Canis lupus familiaris: one gene and its partner. The protein of the gene in region 2 binds, or shares a complex with, the protein of the main gene of each other region. Links are inferred from orthologs where the notes say so. Each region holds a gene or a part of one and is shown on either strand. Other genes may lie near its edges. The genes, in order: ACSS1 and SIRT3.

Evidence for each region.
Region 1: the proteins of SIRT3 (region 2) and ACSS1 are in contact, whole or in part, in a crystal structure (PDB 3GLT), measured with the Homo sapiens proteins. The link is inferred for Canis lupus familiaris from reciprocal best matches to the Homo sapiens genes SIRT3 and ACSS1. Residues at the interface, in NP_036371.1 of Homo sapiens: Gly145, Ala146, Gly147, Thr150, Pro151, Asp156, Phe157, Arg158, Ser159, Glu177, Phe180, Gln228, Asn229, Ile230, His248, Ile291, Val292, Phe293, Phe294, Gly295, Glu296, Pro297, Leu298, Gly319, Thr320, Ser321, Leu322, Glu323, Val324, Glu325; in NP_115890.2 of Homo sapiens: Ser640, Gly641, Lys642, Val643, Met644, Arg645.

The regions. Positions count from the first base shown.
Region 1 is NC_049244.1:1,388,034-1,391,844, forward strand, and holds part of ACSS1 (acetyl-coenzyme A synthetase 2-like, mitochondrial), read right to left. Parts: intron 1,295-3,811; coding exon 1,119-1,294; intron 724-1,118; coding exon 571-723; intron 1-570. UniProt on the Homo sapiens protein: Catalyzes the synthesis of acetyl-CoA from short-chain fatty acids. Acetate is the preferred substrate. Can also utilize propionate with a much lower affinity. Provides acetyl-CoA that is utilized mainly for oxidation under ketogenic conditions.
Region 2 is NC_049239.1:25,724,922-25,728,732, reverse strand, and holds part of SIRT3 (NAD-dependent protein deacetylase sirtuin-3, mitochondrial), read left to right. Parts: intron 1-2,097; coding exon 2,098-2,259; intron 2,260-2,909; coding exon of another isoform or gene 2,910-2,933; exon of another isoform or gene 2,934-3,811.

The DNA of each region.
Region 1 (3,811 bases), on a different chromosome or scaffold from region 2:
CTAATTTTACTTTTAAAATGTGGCCCTAATGAACAAACCCCACATTACCTGTGGGGGTGTACCAAACTGTTTTACTTTCTTTTTTTTTAATACCAAGAGAGGAAAAAAAGATCTTTTAAGTAGCAGTAAGCATTTTAACATGTAAAAGCAACCTATCCATCTCTACACAATTGAGTTGTAAATTATAATCGTAACATTTTTCACGGAGGAAGGGGGCCAGGAAGGCCTAAGCTCCTGGGCCCTGGAGTGTCACAATGCAGCTGTACCAGGTTGTGCATCCAACCTGGGGAAGGGCTCAAGTCCTTCAGAGGAGATACCAGTGCCGAGGGGCTAAAGGCCAGCAGTGAGCTACAGACCAGAAACCTAGATGAGCACAGAAACTCAGTCCCCACACCAACTTACTCACTGTGTCAGTGCCACAACTCACAGCATTAGGAGATGCATTAGCCCCTCACACAGACGGGCACCAGGTCATAATAGGAGTTCTAGCCTCATCCAGCCTCTGGCTCCCTACTCAGAGCCCTGCACAGAGGCACAGCACCTGTCACCCCAACACACCAAGGAGCATACCTTGTGTGTTAGGGCAGCATACAGCAGGTAGCCCGCCTGGGTGTGGACGAGTCCCTTGGGCGTCCCAGTGCTCCCTGAAGTGTACAGCAAGAAAAGCATGTCCTCACTGCCCATGCTCTCTGGGGCACACACAGGATCCTCCTTGGCCATCTCCTGTAAGGGGGAAGACATAAACGGCCCCATCCAAGGCAGTTACCCTCTGCCCCCATTTACCCTTTCTGAGAACCCCTCTTACCTGGCCGCTACAGGACCTGGCAGACTGGGTTTAGTTCACCTTCTCTACCCTACCCTAGTTCAACTCCAGATGCAGAGAGAGCACAAAATAAAAGGAAGGATCTGATCATTTCTGTTATATTAAGTGTCTCAGTATGTTTGTGGTATTTGAGTTCCACCTTCCCAACCACGATGTAAGTCCATCAGTTACCACTAGGGAACCCTGAGCGCCTCTAGGGGACCCAGGTTGAGGACCACAGTCTGACAAAACTCAGACCCAGTTAACCCAATAATTACCTCTCCTCCTCCAACTGTACAAAGTGAGGCAAACCCACCTGCTCGAGAGGGATGTCCAGATGCCCCATGTGGACCTTGTTGTCCGTCCTGTGAGCCACCAGGACATGCTGGACGGTCGGGCAGTGCTTCACGGCTTCATCCACGATCTTCTTCAGCTCCACCACGCGCCCTCCCCGGAGTCCTTGGTTGAAGGTGATGACCACCTTGCACTTGGCTAATGGAGACAAAAAGGTATGCTGACATCTGCCCTGGGCACTTTCCCAGAGGAGAGGCCATCACACCGTCCTTGGCCACAGCCACCGTGGTGGCAGAGCATCACCAAGATGCTGAGACCAAGCCCCAACATGTCCCATGTGCCCCAGCCCTGTGCAGGGTCAAGAAGCTTCAGTGTCCAGAAAACAGAGGCCACACCCCCAGGGGGTACCAGGAGTGACAAGCCCCCACCCTCGCCTTTAGCAGAAGGCCCTGCAGGTCCACACCTGCTCTGCAATGACCAGGCAAGGCTTCGCCAGGCCCAGGACAAGGCTGGGGAGGCCCAAGCTCCCACAGCTAACTGACGGTGAGGACCTGAGCAGGGAACTGAGTACAGAGGCAAACTGGGCTTCAGAACCATAGGCAAAGGAAGGACCCTCCACGGGATGCCTGGGTGGCTCAGCACTTCAGTGTCTGCCTTCAGTTCAGGTGGTGATCCCAGGGTCCTGGGATCGAGTCCTGCGTCGGACTCCCCGCAGGAAGCCTGCTTCTCCCTCGGTCTGTCTCTGCCCTGTGTGTGTCTCTGCCTCTGTGTGTGTGTGTGTGTGTGTGTGTGTGTGTGTGATGAATAAATTAAATCTTAAAAAAAATAAAAATAAAAAGGAATGACCCTCCATATTGTGCCCCAACCTGGGATGACCCAGAGGAATCAAGGCTGCAGTGGACTGTTCTATAACTGGCCCATAAGGAGGAGCCCGGAACAAACACCCAGGTACAGTAGTGACTGGCAGGGCTCCACACACAGCCTCAGAGCTTTTATCACTCTTCACCAAGGACTTCTTCCAAAGTCACAGGCAGAAGTGCCAATGGAATGCCCAGCCCCAGCAGCCCTCCACAATGAGTCAAGGGTTGGAATGTAAATAACCCCACTCCCCCCACCCCAGGAGCCTATCCTGACACATGTGTCTCCATCACCCCCAGGGTTCCCTGGAGAACTGAGCTCCAGGAACCATCTGTGGAAGCTGGTCTGGTGGATTCCCCTTGCCCAGCCCCACTCCCCACCACCCTCTAGCAGTTCCCAGGACTACCTCCCAAATGAACTGGCTACCCCTGACCTTTCATTTCAGGGTCTGCTTCTGTGGGAGCCCTGACTGAGGCACCCATCTCCTTCAGCTTTTCAGTTGGAAAAGTACCCTCTAGCAACATATTCTTTCTTCATCCCAAGGGACCTAGAGAGGACATGCCCTCAAAGGCCACCTAAGAATTCTCTCAGCCCTTGGCTGGGTCATCTAAGGGTCAGAGGCGTACTCTAGAGTGCTTGGAGCACCCAGGGCAGTGTCATCGAGCTCTGTATGCCAGGGGACCTCAGCTGTACACTCTGCTCCTCAGCCTTGGCCATCGGTCACCCTGGGGAAACGAAATCAGCTGGGCAGCCTGTCCGAGACCATCGTGGCCTATATCCCAGGTGCTGACACTGGACCAGGTAAACTCCCTATGGGGCAGGAAGGGAGATGATTCATCAGGTAGAAAGAGCCCAGCCTCAAGGGGATGACAGACAAAGAAAGCTCAGGACCCTCCAGGAGAAAGCAGTGGCCCCAGCCCATCCTGCGTGTTAGAACTGCATTCTGTGGACTATAGCCCTCTGCAGCTTCCCATGGCACATGCCTAGCTTTTGGCACTCATTTGTCTGAGGCTTTCCACCCAAGCAGTTGTCCAGGGCAGGAACCTCTGTGTATATACCTAGTTCCTAGGAGGTGCTTGGAAGCATGTCTCACTCTGTGGTTCTCCCTGAAGCTGGGTGATGGGTACAGGGTGTGTGCACAGCATCAGGCCAGATCAGCATGACACTTTATCTGGGAAGCTCTGATTTTACCAACCTGGTTTTTGAGCTGGTATTAGCATCTGCCTTCATTTATTGCTCCCATAGCCAATTACCACAAACTTAGGATCTCGAAAACCCCATATTTTAGTGCACAGTTCTCTAGTCCAGGTGAGTTTGGTAGGGTTCTTTTCTTGGAGTTTCATGTTTAAAATCAAGATGTGAGAGAGCAGAGCTCTTATCTGGAGGCTCTGGAGAAGAGTCTGCTTCCGAGCTATTCAGGGTTGGCAGAACTCAGCTCCATATTACTTTAGGACTAAAGTCCCCATTTCCTCATTTCCCTTGCTGTTAGCCAAGGGTCATTCTCAGCCTTTAGAGCCACCTACATCCCCTAGCTTGTGACCCCCTTTATCATCAAAGCCAGTAAAGGCAGATCAAGTCCTTCTCATGCTCTGATCTCTCATTCTGCCACATGTCCTCTGCATCCAGCCAAAGTTCTTTGATTTCCAGGGCTTACATAATTAGATATCCAGGGCTCACCTGGATAATCTCCCCCATTTTAGGGCTCATCCCATTCACCAAGCCCTTTTGCTGTGTAAGGTAACACAGTCCCAGATTTGGGGGGATTAGGGTTTGGACATCCGTGGGGGCCATTCTTTGCACCCATCCCCCAAGCCCCTCAGAATCATTCTCTGGCCCTCCACCCTCCCCCACCATATT
Region 2 (3,811 bases):
AAGGAGTAGGGAGGGGCTTGAGAGACAGGTCTGGGGAATGATGGTGTCTCACCAGCTGATCGCTGGGGTAGCCAATTTGTTGTAGAGGGGGGGTGCACATCTTCCCCTGTTGGGACCTGCCGTTGATGGTTCTTCCTGTTGAGGGTTCTTCTGTTGGGTCTGTAGTTCACACTTCTTCGTGTGATTGATGTTTGAGCAGTAGGGCTCCTTCCGACCTCCTGAATCCACATTAGCAGGGTTTCCCTTTATTAATTTTCATAATGTCCAGCACCATTTGTTGAAGAGATGAGATTTGGTCCTTTGTCAAAGAAGAGTTGACTGTGTTTGTGTGAGGGTACTTCCAGCCTCTCTGTTCTGTTCCCCTGATCTATTCTTCTGCTCCCTACAATAGAGCCACAGTCCTGATTCCTGTGGCTTTTTATAATAAGTCTTGAAGTCAGATAGTGTCAGTCTTGTTCTTTGCCTCAATATTGTGTTGGCTATTCTGGTCTTTTGCTTTCCATATAAACTTTAGAATCAGTTTGTATCTGTTCTCTGCTTATTTTTAAATCTTTTCTCTTTGTCTTTGGAGTTTTAGAGTTTTACACTGTTACTGGGGTAACTCTCCATATGGATTTCCTTTTGTTTACTTATTCTGCTTAAAATTTATAGGGCTTTCTGAATCTGTGGTTTTCATCATTAGTGGAAAAATCCCTGGCTGTTGCCTCTCAGATGTCGATTGCATCTCCCACTCCCTCACCTCCCTTGTGGAGCTCTACTTAAACTCCCATGAGACCTCACGCTCCCACCCATGGCTCTTCTGTGTGTTCCATCTTGCTTCTCTGTGCTGTGTTCTGAATAATGTCTTTTGATCTATTTTCCAGTTTACCAACCTTCTATTCTGTTGTATAAAATAAGGTTCTTCCACTAAGTGCTAATTTTTGTTACTGTTTTTTGTTTGGAAAAGGTTTAATGAGATGTGAAACCTCAACCAGCTGTGGGCTCATTTCCAGATCTGAATTACTTGCCCCATTTTTTTCTTCCTAATTTTTATTTAAATTTAGTTAGTTAACATATATCACAGTATCAGTTTCAGGAGTACAACTTTGTGATTTATCACCTATATACAACACCCAGTGCTCATCACAATAATGCCTTCCTAATTTTTGTTACTTTTATTTCTAGAAGTTCTCTTTGGTTCTTTTTCAAATCCACTACATTATTTTTTATAGTTTTCTATCCCCAACAGATACTTCAAACCCTTTTTTTAAAAAAAAAGTTAAACACAAAATGGCCTTAATGTGTCTCTAATAGTATCTGAAGTCTCTGAGTAGTGTCTCCTTGGTCTGTTGTGTCTGCTGGTTCTGGCTGGGCTCAGCTTGCTAAGACAGGGCCAGGAAGGTTTGTCTTAGGAAGCTGTTGTCCTCGTTCTTAGGCTCCTTCCTTTGACACCCAGCCCAGCACATGAACACAGGCATCTTAGGGCAGAGCAGTGATTTGCGTCTACCTCACCTTGGCCTGCAAGCTAGTGGTCTGTGGCAACACTGCTTACAGCTCCTGCTTGAATGCCTTCCAGGTCTAGGGTGATGTCATGATCACTTCAATCAGGTACAAACTTTATACCAGCTTTCTCATTGAATCATGTTTAGTGTAGGCCAAATGCCTGCAGAGTACCTCCTGAGGACTGTGTCACATACTATTTCCTTAGCATCTGAATGTCTCTGATAAGCCCCTGAAGGGCACAGCCTGGCGTTACATGTGCTAGATATCATGGGCTCTTCAGGATGCACCTTCAAATACTCCAGTGTGTCCCCAGTTTCAGGGAGCCATTGAAACAAAATTGGCAAAATGTCAATAAATGCCAAATCTGGGTTCATTATTCAGCTGTTATGAATGTTTGAAAATTTCTTAGTAAAAGCAGTCTTTTTAAAAAGTTTTATTTAAATTAGGTAACGTACAGTGTTACATTAGTTTCAGGTGTACGATCTAGTGACTCACCTCCATACGTCGCCTGGTGCTCCTCACAGCAAGTGCACTCCCCACCCCGCCCCCTCCCGTCTGGCAGCCTGAGTATGTCGTGACATTGTCCTTGGCCTGTTGTCTATGTGTGTTGCACAGGCCGACGTGAGCATGGACAAGATCCCCCGCTGCCCAGTGTGCACTGGCGTTTTGAAGCCTGACATCGTGTTCTTTGGGGAGACACTGCCTCAGAGGTTCCTGCTGCATGTACTTGATTTCCCAATGGCAGATATGCTGCTCATCCTCGGGACCTCCCTGGAGGTTTGTCAGCAGGTCCAGTGGTGGACTGAGTGTGCAGGGGCAGGGGAGGCTATAAGGACAGGGCCGAGGAGGTGAGGCTGCTGGGGGTGGCACCAGCTGCTCTTGGAGCCTTCACATCTGGCGTCCTAGCTTCGGAAGATGAGTAGGTTCAACTGGTCGGGAAGCAGAGGTATTCCTGGCCAAGGGATTGGCAGTCTGGGCAGAATGGGGAAGAGGGAGGGTGCTCAGCTTTGGAGGCACCATCAGCATGGGTGGGGCACGGTGTGTAAGGGAAGGGAGGAAGGAGGGACCTGGAGAGTAGGGCAGGACAGACTTACCAGGCCACATCACAGAGGCTGGTTTTGTGCTAGAAGCGGTAGACTTGAAGTGGTTGAGCCAGGGGCTTAGCCAGTGCTCAAGGTCCCAGAACCTGCTGGGGAGTGGGGATTGAAGGAGATGCCTGGGAGGTGGGTTCTCATGAAGGTGAGGCTGTGGGCCCGGTCAGATCATCTGACCATGAGAGAGGGCAAAGAGAAGAACGGCTGGACTTGGGGACAGGAGATGGAGTGGTCTGGTTGTGTCTGTGGGCACTCAGGCCTTTTTTTGGTAACAAGGTATTTGGAGGGAGGGTTCCGAGCTCAGTTCTGTACAATTGTGTTTGAGGTACCTAGGACACACCTGTGGACACATTCTAGAAGCTGGTCTACCTCTAGATCTGAAGCTCAGGATGTGACAAGAGCAACAAACACGACCCTGTGATGAGCTCTGCCTGGTTGGGTGCTGGTGCCGAGGAGCAGAAGCGCCAGAAAGGCCTGTACTCTGTGGCCTGTGTGGTTGGCCACAGAGGCCTAGAGTTAGGTGCATTCATCCAGCAAATGCGCCCGCTGTGTGCCGGGCCCTGTTGTAGGGCCTTGGACAGACAATACGATGTTGCAAGCAAGTGACACAGTGTTAGGTGCTGACACATGGACAGGAAGGCTGGGAAGGGTTAGGAACTGATTGGGACATCAGCTTGGTTTCCATGACTGTCGGAAGGGGACCCCGGAGCTGAGGGCAGAAGGGGATGCACGTGTCAGCTGAGGGTGTCTGGCAGCAGGCACTGCGCAGTGGCCACAGCCACATGGAGTGAGCGAACAGAGGGCAACAGTGACAGGGTCTGACCTCCTGACCCCGCAGGTGTTGTGGCGGGGAGAGCTGCTGGAGACCCTGCAGGTGGTGGTCCGGGTGGCGATGGCGGGTGGCCAGGTAACGCCGCAGAGGGCAGTGTTCATACATCACATAGATCGAGGGCAAAGGAAGGAATCCCTCCACCCCCTCCAGCACTACGAGTGTTATGCGGTGTCCTCACAGCTTCTCTGCTGCACCTTGTGGTGACCTTTAACCAGAGGTGGGGCAGCACCATGCATAGAGACCAACTACCTTGTTAGCGCCCAGTGTCCCTGCTGGGACCCCCCAATCAGAGTGCTTGTCTCTAGCACCGAGTAATCTGCAGTATTGCTCCAACTTCATCTCATATGCTGTGTGGAAGAAATACTCAGCAATAAACTTGATTATTAATTGCCCCTCCAGATCC